Linked DNA regions of Drosophila melanogaster. The main gene of each other region encodes a partner of the protein of the gene in region 3 in a complex. Each region holds a gene or a part of one and is shown on either strand. Other genes may lie near its edges.

Region 1 (5,135 bases), on a different chromosome or scaffold from region 3:
CTGAGGAACACTGAACTGGGGAAATGTGGACCAGAAAGCTATTCATTGGATTCGCAAGAATGCCGGCTTCTAATCCGAGATGTAAGTGGTGGTATCAAAACACACAGGCCTTCCGAATATTCGTTTAGACCCATTTCGTATGGGAAGTATCCACGAATTACGCAAATGATGCGATTCCAACTTTATAGCAAAACGTACAATCCGACAATAACCGAGTAGATTTATTGATTCATGATTCGGGACTACTAAGATTCGTTGTGTCTTCTGGTGCGCGACGAACACTACGTGGACTATTCCGCACAGTGATATAAGTTTGGTTCATGGTGGCACCAAGATAAAGTTTAATCAAAAATATTTTTCTAGAAAATTATCGTTCCACGGAATCTTTAAAACGATTGAATAATGCGTAAACCCATTGATAGTTCACTTCATTAATAACATTAACATTAATACCGTGAACTCTAAACATAACTAAAGAAAACCACTCATATTGAAAGGCAAGCGGCTGAGGTTTAACTTAGGAATTTATTCGGAACTCTTACAATTAAGAACAAGATCAGTGCCACGGCACCTGGTTGCCGATGGTGCCCTTTTTGTAGAACTTGGCCGTGGCCGAGGCGGTAGTGGCCAGTGTCGGAGTGGGCGGAGCAGGCTCGTAGGTGGGTCCGCTGCCCTCTGCCTTCAAGACGGCGGCACAGCGCCACTGCCGGTTGTAGTTCATTCGCCACAGACGCACACAACCGTCGTCGCCCGTGGAGATCAGCATCGTGGCCAGCATATTCCAACAGACGCGCCACACTGGGCAATTGTGCTCGCTAAACTTAATGGTCTGGATGTCCAACTTGGAGATGTCCGTGGCGTCCCTTTAATTATAAAAATTATTATTATTAAATGATTTTGGGTCTTTAAATTGTCGATCTTACGTTACACCCCGCAAGTTCACAATATAAAGATCCTTGCTGGCCACTGCCAGCATGTGAAAGGTGCGTCCGGCATTTGGAGCAAAGGCCACATCCGTGACCGGATCGGTTATATCATTGACAGTATCGATTTTAACGCACTTTCGGGAATTCTCGCTGTAGGCGAATAAGAAGACCTTGCCAGTAGGCGTGGCTGCCTCGTCGCTGCCCGCCTGCAAAATAATTTATGAAAATTAGGCTTATTCTTACTCCACAGATAATAGAATTAATCCTTAATAGACTAAGACTTGGAATTTAAATATACTCACCGCCAGCAGCTGGGTGACCATGTAAGTGGAAGTGTTCCAGGACAAACAGCTCAGCGGCAATTTGTTGCTAATCTCGTGCTGCACGGGCCACTGCGAGAGGTTCATAATGTCCGGGGCCTCATAGATGCGAATAATGCCGTCGGCGGAGGCGGTGGCCAGCAGGAGTCCCAGGTACTTGGGTGCAAACTCCACATCCGTGACACTGGTCCGCGAGTCTACAAGGGTGGTGCGGCGCACCCAGCGGCGAGTGGGGGTATTGGTGGAGGATACCTTTTCGCCAATCACCTCCTCCCAAACGGAGGCGGTGCGATCAAATGAGCATGTGGCCACAACCTGGCCAAATTCCGGGTGCGCCCAGGAAACGCGCCAAATGGAGCCGGAGTGCGCTTTCCAGCTGCTCGTGACATTCCACTTGCCCTGCCCATCCTCGTCCCAAATCTGCAAGCAGAAAATCCGGATCACCTAGGCTGTTTATCGTAGGAATAATTCGAGTCCTCACCTTGACGGTCTGATCGCTGGAACAGGTTGCCATCCTGCGGCCGTAGTAGTCGAAGACCACGTCGTGTATCACATCCTTGTGGTCGGCAATAATGGGTTCCACGTCGAACATGATAAAAACTCAACTTATTTACCGAAATGTTGTTTATAAAATGCACGCGCCGAAAAATCTGCGCCGGTAATGCAGCCCTACAAGGAGAGACAGGGTTGGCTTGCAAACAGCCGCCGAACAGCTGTTGTTTACCTTGCTCAGTATTTTTTCAGTACGCCCAGGCGAACGGTCACACCGAGTTAGTGGTCCGAATTACGCGTGAAATACGAATAAAAAATCGAGCGAAAAATAACAAAACACAGTACTCTAGTCGATCACAAGCTGATAACGTATCAGCCGTGCCACACGCCCATCCGGGATTCGCGAGAACCACACTAGTCGGAGAGTCAGGACTCCAATAGCCGCCAAGAGGCCGTTTTGCACCCGGAAAAGAACAGTTACACACAACAAAATTGCCAACCGAAAGAAACGTGCGAAGCGCAGTGCGATGGAGAAGAGTAAGTGCGGTAATCTAAGCACTAAACGGGTAATTACGGCCCGATCCTATACGATACGATCCGAGCGAAATGTATGCGCATATGTGTATGCAAATGAGTGGGGTGAACAACCCCACAGCATAGTCGTATGTAGATCGGGACCCGCGTTTGTTTAGCATTTGAATTCGCTGGCTAAAGTGCGGATTTCAATCAAAGTGCAATGGGCAGCATAAATTCCAATTGCTTCCATCTGCAATATGCTCAATATGTCTTGCCTTGCTCGCCCTCTCTCGCTCGCGCACTCGCTGCTGACCTTGATTCCTATTGGATTTTACACATCGCGCGATGCCCGTGACGTATGTGTGTGTGTGTGTATGGGCGAGAGAGCAGCATAGCTGCCAACGTGTGTGTATGTCGGCCGGCATCAATTACCTAATAAGAACTAAATTGGAGACTGCATTTCTTGTTGGTATTGTATTGCATAAATACGATATAAGTATATTTATGAAATATGAGCATATCACAAGGACTCGAATCGGAAATTCAATCCAACGCAGTCACTACAAATTCGTAGTATTTTGCTAAGAAATTAAAAAACAATTTAACTGTAAACCGTGCACTTTACAGTGTCTACAAGATTTCAAGTGTGTTATCACGCACAAATCGGTTGTTTGTTGCTCTGTAGAAATCCTAGAGATAAGCACATCGAAATCAGGCGTTTCACACGCGACCGACTTTCGGTTCTATTATTATTTGGCTGTGATATCAGTAGACGGTTTTTTTCTGGCCACGCGCCAAACATGAATAATTCGAACAGAATCGAACACCGAAATACAAAAATTTCCGTGCGATAAGATGCCGGGAAAGATTTGGAATTGAGCCCGAGCCGAAACCATGAAGACCCGTCACCGTTAAGTATTAATCATAATCGGTCGCCAAGGCCAATGCCGAAATCGGAAGATTTTTCAGGCACTCGCCGCCTATCTGAGATTAAAGCGGGCGTCGCGTCGGGAATTTCTTTTATGACTTTTAAAAAACCTCTGCTGATGCCGGGAGCAGCGAGCATCACGGAATGAAAACAAATCAGCGGCGTTCGCGTGTTCTGCTCGTGGCAGCGCACTGAATTCGTTAATAATAATTCGATTCAAGTGCATCGCGCTAATCAATTTCTGGCGTTTTCGCCCATTTAACCCTAATCAGCATCGCTTGCCACTTACGCCAGCAAATTGAGAAATTATGGTCGTTGTTGTTGCTGCTTGCTGCTCCCAGCAGCAGAGTGCATTTCCGTCAGCGGTTGGGTCAACTCCCAGATTAAGTCCAGCTGGAGCAGCAACAACAACAACAGCAGTACCGAATGCCATCGGCGACCTTGACATTGAAAAGCTACCGCCGCCCATGAGACAGAGATACATGGAAGAGAAAAGAGCGGGACGCACTGCTAGTGACAGAGAGGGGTAGACGGTTGTTGGCAACAGCTGATCGCCATCATCATGTCGCTCTTATCTTTTATCAGCCGCAGACCGTTAAGGTATAATTGCTGTGCAACAGTGGAACTTTCCTATAGTGGAACTCACTGATGTTAAGCTGATTGCGATTGCCGCTGGAAGGGCATGCTTTTATGGTTAGTTTTTATGAGTTTTTAGTTTGGAAACTACGCAAAAAATCCAATATAAAACAAAATGTCATTGTAGTTATTCCAGAACTTGTTGAATCGGTATATACAGAAACCTTATTCATCACTGACGACAATAAAGAAATGATTTTGTTAAATATTTCTCTGGTGCCACTGTACCCAGCATTTATTTATTCGGACATTGTTATGGCATAATTGGTTCACAAAAAGATCACTGAAACCGACGGAGCACACTGGTCGTCATTACTTGAGCCACCTTCATAAAAATTGTTATTAATCCGGCAGGTTGCCCCGCTTAATTCGACCGCCTTTCTGTTCGAATTAGTGGCGCTCCTTGTACATATGTAGTTCTTATGTAGTACATAGTGCACATATATTCCTCCTGGTCACTTGGCGCTGGCTGAGCCAGCAATAAGCAAAACAATAACACAACAACAACAACAACAATTGGCTTGGCGACCCGCGAGACCCGCTGGCGATTAACATACGAGCGCAACAACCTGAACACGCACAAACACAGGTCCGCGCACGAAAACCTGGCCGTAGACGTAGTCAAAGCTATAGCTATAGTTGATATTGATAGTGGCGACGCCGAAGTCGGCGTCCGCTGCGCGTTCGGAGAAGCGGCGTTCAGGCATCGATAGTGCTTTTCGGACGAGCATGGCCCAGTTGAGTTCCAATCGTCGGTCACTGCAGTAGCCATCTAGAAATCGTGCGGAACCAGTCAGTCTAGGAAGTTCAAACCGATCCTACACGGTCTACTACAATCCGATCCGATCCGGTCCGACCTCGTCTTCGAAACTGCCATCACAAGCTAAACAAGGGCACACGCAGAGTGGTAAAGCGAGCTGAAACCGTAGATCTAAATCCTAAGACGAACTAAACCCAAAACACAACCGTATCATATCCAGCCAAGGTCCCGAAAAGTGCTGCCCTAGAGATAATCGCACGTCGAGTAAGATTCTTTTGTTTTCGACTGTTGAGTAATGCCAGCAGAGTTCTTATCACAGGATCGGTGGTAAATAAAGCACAATTAAAAGACTCCATCCATTGCGAGGGTGCGCACTAACGGAGCTACTTGAGTACGGGACCGGGCCACACCTGTTGAGTCGTTTCCAGCGCAGAGTGTAACCCAAGTCCCAGTTCTCTGCGCGATTTCCGAGTAAGCGGTTACATAACACCCCGCTGGTTGCCAGAGATCGATTCCGGTGTCCAATCCGACTTTCCGTGTCTTTCAATGCCCGCCGC
Region 2 (5,516 bases), on a different chromosome or scaffold from region 3:
GGAAACGGACGCATCTACTGGTATCTTCACAGGCGTAGAAATCACACAGGTTTCGCCGTTGGCCGGCATGTAGGTTTCCAGGTTGAATTCGTCTTTGATCTTCGAGCGCAGGAACTTCATCTTCCCTGCTTCACCATGGACGAGCATGACGTTCTTTGGCTCACAGTTCTGAATTAGCTGCATAATGCCTGCAATACAGAAAATTAATTAGTATCAGCATAAAAGTGCTAAGCTTGTAGCCACCTTTGGCATCTGCATGGGCCGAGAAGCTCATGTACTCCACGGCCATTTTGACCTCGACCACCTGGCGGTTCTCGAACTCCACCTTCTTGGCGCCACCGAGAATCTTGTTGCCCACGGTTCCCTGCACACAGTAGCCGGGCATAATCACCATGTTGTTCTCATTCGGCGCCCACTTCTTGAAGATCTGCAGGGAAAGACCTGCGTGCAGCATGCCTGGCGTGGCGAACACTACCATCGCGCCAGGATTGTCGATGTAGGCCTTGTCAAAGGGCTTGATGTGCTTGAAGTCGAACATGTTGCGGTGAACGAAGGTCTTGCGGATCTTCTGGTTCGTCCAGGTGATGAACATTTTGTAGTAGGTATTGGCCTTCTCGGTAAGACCCAGAGCAAAGTATATGGGGTACTTGAGGTTCATGCGCTCCCAGTACGTCTCCAGCAGGATGCACAGCTCCTGGGCGCGACCCAGGGCAAAAACAGGGATTAAAACCTTGCCGCCCTTAGCCACGCACTCGTGAACTTTCTTGAGGAAGTCCCTCTCGCGACACCGCTTCGAGTCCCTAATGGTAGTGGCGTAGGTGCTCTCGGAGATCAGCAAGTCCGGCCGGCACTTGTCTATCCAGGCGGCTCCCAGATGCCTGTCTGGAGTCATGTTGTAGTCCCCCGTGTAGACAACGCTCTGGGAGCCCACCTTGATCCAGAACATGGCGGCGCCCAGGACATGGCCTGCATAGTAGGCTTTGATCTCAAGGTCCGTGTCCACCATCATACTCTGGTGAAGTGTGACGGGAATCACCTTCTTCATGCAGTCCTTGATCATCTGGGTGGTAAAGAAGTTCGACTCGCCTTTCCGCTCTACGGCCACCTTCCGCATGTCCTCCAGGAGGATGGGTGCTATGGCCTTGGTCGGATGCGTCATGTAGATGGGCCCCGTGTAGCCCACAATCTCTGACATGTAGGGCAAGGCCCCGCAGTGATCTGGAATGCATGCAATCGATAAAGAAACGATTAGAGCCAGTTGACCAGATAAGAGCGCCTTTGGGAGGCCGAGACTCACCCAGGTGGAAGTGCGAGATGATCACACAGTCAATGTGGCTGGTGATCGGACCCTCCGGCACTATGTAGGAGAAGTCCGGGAAGCGGCGCTCGTCGTTGTAGCCCATATGCATCCCGCAGTCGAGCATTATGTTCTTCCCGCCCATCGAGAGCAGCAGACAGCTGCGGCCCACATCCTGGCCGGCGCCCAAGGGCGTTATCTTGATGTCCGGCATTTCTGGAAGGGATCAGGATCACCCGGCTCCACTCTCCTGCTTTCTTGCGGCCACTTGTTGCGCTGGTAAATGAAATTGTCGAAAAAGTCGACCGTGATTTTTGTAAACAGCAAGGCCGCACGAATGGCGTTGCCACTCCGTCGGTGTGGATGGTCCGGCAACGACGCGCTCCAACTGGCAGATCTTATTGGAGTGTTCCAAGAAGTTTCAAAGAATTTAATAGCTTAATTGAAATTAATGTTTCTGTCTGTATATGTATAGAATACATTAATTATATGTGAATAATACAACTTTAGTACAATAAGTCTTTTGTTCAAACAATATTCAACATCTGCATTTGGGAACACTCGCGCCAATGGTTTGCCGCTCGAGAAACGGTCATACTGAACCGAAAGGAAAATAAAAGATAGCGTCTTGTCTTATCAAATCACTGTTTTGCTTTCTGCGGGCGAACTTGCAACTGCTGCAGGATGCCCGATTCCGTGGAGGACACCTCCACAATCTCGCTGCGGATATGCCTGGAAGGACACGCGAACGCCCTGGCCCTGAATAAGGACAACAACCAGATTGCTTTGGCCGGAAGAAGCTGTAAGATTAGAATTGCCCAAGGTCTTTCTATAAATACACATAATTTGCTTCCGAACAGTGCTTAAGGTGTACTCCATAAACAGCAATGGCTTCACGGAATCGTGTAATATGCGCGGAAAGAACCAGAATCTTAGCTACTCCGCCAACGATGTGGCCTGGTCCACCTTGGATAGCAATCTTTTGGCTACGGCGGCCACGAACGGAGTGGTTTCCGTGTGGGATCTCTCCAAGTTCGGCAGGCAGAAGCAGCTGCTTGTCTACAACGAACATGAGCGCACCGCTCATACCGTGACCTTTCACAGCAGCGAGCCCAACATCCTGATCTCCGGTTCTCAGGATGGCACCATCAAGTGTTTCGACATCCGATCGGATAAGTCAATCAACACCTACTTCTGCAACTCGGAATCAGTGCGGGATGTCAAGTTCAGTCCACACACACAAAACATATTCTCCGCCGTCTCCGAGAATGGAACTGTCCAGTTGTGGGACATGCGGAAGTGGGACAAGTGCATGGTGCAGTTTACGGCGCACTACGGGCCAGTCTACACATGCGACTGGCATCCCACAAGGAATTGGCTGGCCACCGGAAGTCGGGACAAGCAGATCAAGGTGTGGAACATGGATGGCAGGCCGGGATTGGAGCACACCATTCACACAATCGCCGTAGTGGGACGGGTTAAGTGGCGACCAGAAAGAACGTAGGTTTTTCTAGCCAGGTTTAACAGTCTTATTTATATTAAATCTGTTTAATCCTTTCCAGTTATCACATCGCTAGTTGTGCCCTTGTGGTGGACTACAGCGTTCATGTGTGGGACATCCGCAGACCCTACATCCCCTTTGCCTCCTTCAACGAGCACACCAATGTGACTACTGGAATTGCGTGGCAGGGCAGCGACTCGCACTGTCTTCTGTCCATCAGCAAGGACTCCACCATTTACAAACATGCTTTTAAGGATGCCACGAGGCCAGCGCTGAAGGCAAATGCCCAGGGAGCTAGCCTGGGCAGATTTGGGGACATCTCCTTTGCCAACAAGATCAAGGAGTATGAACCCAAGACCAGCGGTGCATCCAATACCAAGTCTTCTAGCTTCATGTATGTCGTATTTGTTGTATCAACTTGTATGTTTATATGTATGTGTATTTTAGAAGTCGCCGTAAGACGAATGTGGCTGGCAGCATTCAGTTCCATTTGGACCATTCCAAAATGTACAAATTCATGGTAAACGACACGGTTAGTATGACACTATTAGGGATTTCTTTGCCAAATCTGATACTAATTGATATATTTCAGTTTTCCGGCTATCCCCTAAGCGAATCTGTTTCAAGACCCACCCAAGAACACGAAAGTTTTATTGGCTGTGCCAGGGAACTTGTTATCAGTGGGAAAAAACTATCGGAGTTATGCGAGCACAATGCAGAGGTTTCCAAGAAATACGGCAAACATAATGTAAGCGCTTGAGATTATTCCCAAAATTTGCCAAAACTTAGCATCTACATTTTTCAGGCCACCACATTGTGGAACTTTATCAAATTGTTCTACGGCAGCAATCACTTTGAGCCTCCCTTCGAGCACCGCTCCTCCTTCTCGAATCAAAAGAATCCAATGAACTCACGACGTGCCACGCAAGTAGCCAGCGATTGGCCACAGCAGCGAACTGAACTAGGCCAGGATCTCAATGGAAACACGCCGGAAACAGCCCACGAAATTGATGTGGCGAATGTGGACGATGATACGCTCGGCAGCAGTGGTGTGGAGCATCCGCCTACGAGCTCAGTGATTCTGTCCGAAACGCAAATCATCAGCGAGATTACCTTTGACAACTTTGAGCTCTTGCGCAATGGGTTTATCTACGTGGGTCCCACAGAATGCCCGAAAGCTTTGGCCTTCCCCGCCCTTCATCACGATGTGCAGGCTGCACGACCACAACTGGATCTCAAGGCGTCCGATCACGAAAAGTCACCTGTTAGTTGAGATTATTGAGAACTCGATGTATTTACAGCTTAACTAACTTATTCATCCTCTTTTTAGCCACCGCATGTTCCCACTGTCCTAAAAGTCAGCCATGTCCCGCCCATACCCATGTGGGAACCGCATAAGTTCGTCTCCGATGCCCTCATGCTAATGAACGATGTGGGCGATGTGCAAACAGCTCTGACAGTCCTTATAGCGCTGGGAGAAGCTCGGAAGCTCCTGCCCATTGACGATGCATTGGTGGTGAGTTCAAAGACAAAGTTGGGATCAGAACGGAGTTATTCATCCGGTTTTCTTCCTTTTCAGGAGCACTGGTTTTACACCTACGTGGACCAGCTGCATCGCTATGAGCTGTGGAACGAGGCCTGCGAGGTTATCAACCGCTCCTGGCTGAGATCGGTGCAGCAGCTCAACCAGCACTCGACCGCCATGCACACGAACTGTGGAGAGTGTGGACGTCCAATGGGCGGCAAGGTGGGATGGTACTGCGACAAGTGCAAGTCCATGCAGTCCGCCAAGTGCTGCGTCTGCGGTCTGATCGTCCGGGGAGTCTACGCCTGGTGCCAAGGATGCTCCCACGGCGGTCACATAGAGCACCTGCAGAAGTACTTTGCCAAACACTCCAAGTGCCCCAAGTGCGGACACCTTTGCGCGTACTCATGAGACGCGGAGGAGGCTGGGTTTGCCCAGCTTTTGCCCCCCATTTGAGAGCCTTGTAAATAGAGAAGACTTAAGCCCAATAAGTACCTTGCACTAGACACTAAACAGATTTTTATATAAATGTAGCTCGAAGATGTAAACTTGTAAAATAAGCTCAACGTTTGTGAAGTAAATTAACAGACAGGTTTAATCGATCTTCTGCAACTTTAAATAGCACAAATGTTTGTTACTTAACTTTTTTTGAAATATTGGAAAATAAAACTGTTGTCTGTTGATGCAAGTAAGTTTATAAACATTCTGGGCTTTTGAAAAAAGTGTCCACTTTATTGAATTTCTTCAATCATTAAAGGTTTTTGAAAGATTCGTATTGGGTTTTAATCGCTATTGTTGATTAGTGTTAATAACAGTTTAACAGTTATGCGAGTGTTTCAATCTTAGGGCTACTTGATGAAGGTGCTCTTAAAAGGTAATATTACAACCACCTTGGAGTTGAGAGGTCGAGCCGCACATTCAGTAGCAGAAAGGGGAGAAAAAATTATAAAATTGAGAGTTCTGTAGGGATTAAAAACAGAGAGCAACATATGTTGCGGTTGTCTTTAACTAAATATCTAATTGTATGTCCTCGCGGGTGGGTGGACAAGCACGTCCGTCCACAAGGACACCACCGCCAGCCAGCGCTGTCCAAAAATCCATCATGCCCTCAGCGCAATGGAATTTTGGCAATGCCTATATGCATTTAATGTTTTCTTAGAATCCAATTTTAGTTTTGTTGCATTGCGCTTCGC
Region 3 (4,640 bases):
TGTATATTTTTCGATTCAAAATATTTCCGATTTGGGCGCGCACTCACATACAAACACACACACTAGTTTTACTCACCGTTTACTCTGTTATTTTGAATTTTCACTTCATTTTGCACAACTTAATTTAATTTAACGACAAGCTACGTGGTTTATTTTTTATTTCGAAACTTTATATTTCAATTTTATAAATACAAATTAAATTTGTATACACTTTAACACTGGTTCTTTTTTGTTCCGTTGCACATTGTTGATTTGCAGCATTTAAGTGATGGCGCGACGTTGTTTCGAACGTTTACTACCTGCACAAATTAAAATGTTTCTACTTTGATTAATCAATTTTATTATTATTAATACCGTATGGCACAAGAAGCAGAAGACAAAACGCGCAGGAAAACACATAAACTGGGATTGCTTAAGACGTGTGTAAGAGCGAGACGACCAGTCGGTTTGAGCAGACCATATAGCTAGTGTGACCGTTCTAGCCTATGGACAAGACATGCCAACTGACTATTATCGCCTATTTTATTTTGTTCGCCTGCCCTGCTTCTTCTTCTTGGTTTTTGTGTTGCGCTGTTTCCCTGTTTAGCCTATTACTACTGCGCCTGGCCATTCCGAAATGCTGTACGTACATATTTCGATTTCGCCTTTCCGCCTATTCGTTGATACCCACACAAACGTATATCTGTGCATGCCTTTCTACGTAGGTATGTGTAAAATCTATACACACGGATGTTGGCGCACATATACACAAAAAGTAAAATAGTTATGTTATTAACTATTTAACCACAAGCTATTTACATTTTAGGCACTTATTAATCCTATTTTCCAAAATACAAGGAATAGATACAGAAACGAAGACATAGTAGAAAAACAAACCTACAAGTAAATGACAATTAGTTGAAATTAACTTATTGGCCACCATACTGCCGAAGAGTGCGAAACTAATTCAGAAGCGAACCACTCAGCCAAGTAAACTATATTTTTTTGTAGAATTAGTTATACCTCTCCTACACTCACACAAATATTATATATATGTATATATAGACCGCGGCTAGTACACGTTTAGCGTCGTCTCGCTCCCACCTACGATCCGCACGTATTTTGCCTCTCACAATGTGTGTGTTTTCCTCTTTTCCAACACGCTAATAAGAAATCGTCATTTTTAAAAGTGCTTTTACAGCCAAACTAACATGTTTCACAGGGGAATTTCATAGTTCTGCGATTGCCGCGTTCGCATACTACGCTCCCAGTTATTTTCACAAATTTTTTGTTGACGTTTCGAGCACAATTTCCACACGTTTTGCTCACAACTTTCCGCTTCTAAAAAATTAGAGACTGACCAACCGAAGACGGTCACACTACAGCGGAGCGATAGATCGTTATCGCTCGACCAGGGATCCTATACTATTAGCCTTGCCGATATATATTTATTTATATAGTAAGACCGTTTTTCGTTTAGTATTTTTTAGTTTTTGAATATATTATCTAAGGTATCTATGGTAAATTTAAACGATTTAAAAAAATTCCATTGCGTTGCATTTATATTATTGTTTCGCCTGCAAAATGAAAACTGACATGACTACTATTTTAAATAAGTTTTTGGTATTTTATGCAAACTAAAAGAGAGCCACACTGCTGTAAATATATTTTATATTTTACATTTATTTACTTTGCTTCCATTTCTCAATGAAGTCAAATTGAGGTACTAATAAATAAATAAAGAGTTGTTGAGGTAGTTTCTGTAGCAAACTACGATTTATAAAGTATTTTTGAAAACATAGCCAACTATTTGTTGACCCTGACCCCAGTTGATAATGCAAATGTTCATATTTTAATTTACATAAAAGGGGAAGTGTCTGTGTGCCATGGAAACTAATGTGAATCCCCTGGCCGTAATCCTGGTTTACTTCGATAGCAAGGGGGATCGGTTACTGTACAGGTATCCGTACCAGACTCTCGGCCAAACGGAGGTGGCCAACGACGAGCAGCGGAAGTCCAGGTACTACCTATTAATTCAAAGGGCACTCAGCTTGACTATACCGATTTATTCAATCACAGAAAGCGCAATCCCTATGCCGTGGCCAATACGGACGATCTGCTGCAGACACCCACCCACTTGGGTGCTGCCAAGAGCCAAGGACAACTGCAGGGATTCGCAGATGAGGTCCTGTCCGCTCTGTTTGCTGTTAAACCACAGCTATGCAACCAAAAGTTTGAACTCAAACTGAACGACGTACGCTTTGTCAGTCATCCCACTCTGATACCGCAAAAGGAGCAGAGAAGTGGTCCAATGGCCAAGCAACAGATGCTCATCAACATTGTTTTTGCGCTGCATGCACAGGCCAGCTACTCGATTGTTAAGTGCTACCACGAACTGAGCAAGCGCCTTGGACTGGCGCTGAAGTTCGAGGAGCAGCGCAGTGGCTATCTCACCGAGCAGACGGCTCAAATGGCTCGCACACACGACGAGCAGCAGCAACAGCCGCTGGAACGCACACTGGAGCTGATTGCAGAGCGCTGCAGCTTGGCACAGGCCTTGCGCTCCATCTTCCATGATCTATGCACCACTGGACTGCTGAGTACCTCGCTGAATCACAACCTAACGTTGTGCTTCTGTCTGCCCGCTAAGGCACACCAGCTCCATAAGAAGGGCAGCATGGTGGATCCAGAGACCATAGATCGGTGCCTTCGTGCACTGAAGCCCTATCATGGCATGTTGCTGCTGGTCGACTTTGCCGAATTGTTGGACTGCGTTCCACCGACTGGGGCACGCATGCTATGGCAGCTAGTCGACGTCTACGACCCACTGATCAGTCTGCAGAGCATGTCCTCCAATGCAGACTTGAGTATCGAGCATGTTTATAAGCTCGTCTCGCATTTGGTCTACTGGGCTAAGGCAACTATTATTTATCCACTCTGCGAGACAAATGTCTATGTGATCGCGCCGGATGCACCATTGCACACCAAGTCCCACCTGGTGGAGAAGTTCTCGGCCCGTTTTGCCGGTATGTCGCTGTTCGAGGTGATCTCCGATTTTTCATTGCCCACTTCAATTGGACACTTAACCACGCCACTGCAGCAGCCAGCGCGACAGGGTATCCTCGCACAAATGGTGATTTGGATGCTGCAGCACCATTTGCTCATGCAGTTGCACACGTACGTTCAGTTTATGCCCAGCGAGGATGAATTCGGAGATTCGGCCTCCTGCAGCAACCATCTAAGGGATGCCATTAGCGATGAAGAAGGAGACCAAGAACCAGATGCGGACGAGTTGCATGGCTCCATGCTTAGCATGTCCAGTCATCCGTTGCCAGTGCCAGCGGTATTGGTGGGCGGACATCGTCGTGAGGCGTCCGAGGACCATTCATCACTGGCCTCGGACAACATCGCCGTGCAGCCATCATCCAGCCACAAGTCCAATTTCAGCATCACCGCCTCGATGAGCACGGACAATTGCGACAGCCTCGATTCCATGGAGGATGAGCAGAAGCTGAAGGAGCTGCTACAGGTTTTCAGCGATGCGGATCGAGCCGCCATCCGTCGAATTCCCGCCTCTGCCAACGTGGATGATCTATCTCTGCTTGTGAAGCTGTATCAGATGGGTTACTTTAAGAGCGAGCATCATCTGGAGGAGATCATGTACTTCGAGAACCTGCGACGTTCGCAACTGCTGCAATTGCTTGATAAATTCAGGGATGTGCTTATCATTTACGAAACCGAAGATCCTGCAATTGCATCCATGTACAATACCAAGTAGAGTTTGGGACGAATTTGCATTCCTAGATTTTAATGTTGAATGTTTTTGTTTAGTTTTTGAATATAATCTATAAAATAGGTATGCATCTAATTTTGTAAAGTTTGCGAAGCAAATCAATTTACGCTTGTAGACTACATATTTTGTTATTTATTTGTACAAGCAAGTTCTTAAGTTCAATTCAATTATTGTCAAACTATGTTTTTCCGTGATTTCATACAAATTCAAAAAATTACTCATATTCAAAACAGCGTTACATTTTAAGCTTCGCGCCCATTGTACAGCTTTAAGGTATATCGATAAGTGGGGAATATTCTGATGCTCTAAGAGCCAGATTAAAATAAAATATTTAAAAAATACGAAAAACCCATTTTTAACTTAAAAAAACAACTTTAAATCATAAATCAAAGCTGATAAATTAATAAGATGCGAAGCACAGCTGATTATTCGGTATTTTTTTGTTGGTATATTCCAGTGATTGGTATTTTAATAGTTGCATTTTGTTGATATTGTATATTTTTGATCCTGCCTACGAAACTCTGGAGCTCGGCCACGATGGACATTTCGCAAATGTGCCGCGTTTGCAGGGACGAATCCGACTGCCTGTTGGATATATATACAGAGCCATATGCCTCCTCCAATCGGGTCCAGGAGCAGGAGCCGGTCTTGGCCACAATGCTGAGGGAATGCAGCGGATGCAGCGTGCATAAGGAGGACGGAATGCCGCAGTTCATCTGCGTGGAGTGTGCGGAGGCCGTAAGAAATGCCTATCGGCTAAGACGGCAATGCCGAAAGAGCCATCAGTACTTTGAACAGCTGCGTCTGATGATGAAGGAGCTGGACGATATAGAGTATTGCCTGAATATAGGGGATAACATAGAACCAC

What was found.
Region 1: Nprl3 (region 3) and Nup44A share a complex: the UniProt entries of both Drosophila melanogaster proteins name them as parts of the GATOR complex.
Region 2: Nprl3 (region 3) and Wdr24 share a complex: the UniProt entries of both Drosophila melanogaster proteins name them as parts of the GATOR complex.

The regions. Positions count from the first base shown.
Region 1 is NT_033778.4:7,986,656-7,991,790, reverse strand, and holds Nup44A (nucleoporin at 44A), read right to left. Parts: upstream 3,330-5,135; 5' UTR 3,282-3,329; intron 3,260-3,281; exon of another isoform or gene 3,164-3,259; intron 2,276-3,163; exon of another isoform or gene 2,077-2,275; intron 1,960-2,076; 5' UTR 1,839-1,959; coding exon 1,728-1,838; intron 1,667-1,727; coding exon 1,229-1,666; intron 1,133-1,228; coding exon 924-1,132; intron 864-923; coding exon 557-863; 3' UTR 508-556; downstream 1-507. UniProt on the Drosophila melanogaster protein: Probable component of the nuclear pore complex (NPC). Involved in maintaining the localization of another nucleoporin Mgtor to the nuclear envelope of early meiotic female germline cells.
Region 2 is NT_033777.3:29,741,465-29,746,980, reverse strand, and holds Wdr24 (WD repeat domain 24), read left to right. Parts: upstream 1-1,888; 5' UTR 1,889-1,981; coding exon 1,982-2,099; intron 2,100-2,157; coding exon 2,158-2,797; intron 2,798-2,859; coding exon 2,860-3,192; intron 3,193-3,245; coding exon 3,246-3,330; intron 3,331-3,390; coding exon 3,391-3,546; intron 3,547-3,603; coding exon 3,604-4,062; intron 4,063-4,128; coding exon 4,129-4,314; intron 4,315-4,377; coding exon 4,378-4,734; 3' UTR 4,735-5,009; downstream 5,010-5,516. Other genes in the region: IntS11 (integrator 11), read right to left, coding at 1-188, 244-1,218, 1,298-1,511; Gnpnat (Glucosamine-phosphate N-acetyltransferase), read right to left, coding at 5,242-5,283. UniProt on the Drosophila melanogaster protein: An essential component of the GATOR subcomplex GATOR2 which functions as an activator of the amino acid-sensing branch of the mTORC1 signaling pathway.
Region 3 is NT_037436.4:13,998,852-14,003,491, reverse strand, and holds Nprl3 (nitrogen permease regulator-like 3), read left to right. Parts: upstream 1-1,611; 5' UTR 1,612-1,702; exon of another isoform or gene 1,703-1,847; 5' UTR 1,848-1,865; coding exon 1,866-1,999; intron 2,000-2,058; coding exon 2,059-3,757; 3' UTR 3,758-4,112; downstream 4,113-4,640. Other genes in the region: CG17359 (uncharacterized protein), read left to right, coding at 4,310-4,640. UniProt on the Drosophila melanogaster protein: An essential component of the GATOR subcomplex GATOR1 which functions as an inhibitor of the amino acid-sensing branch of the TORC1 signaling pathway.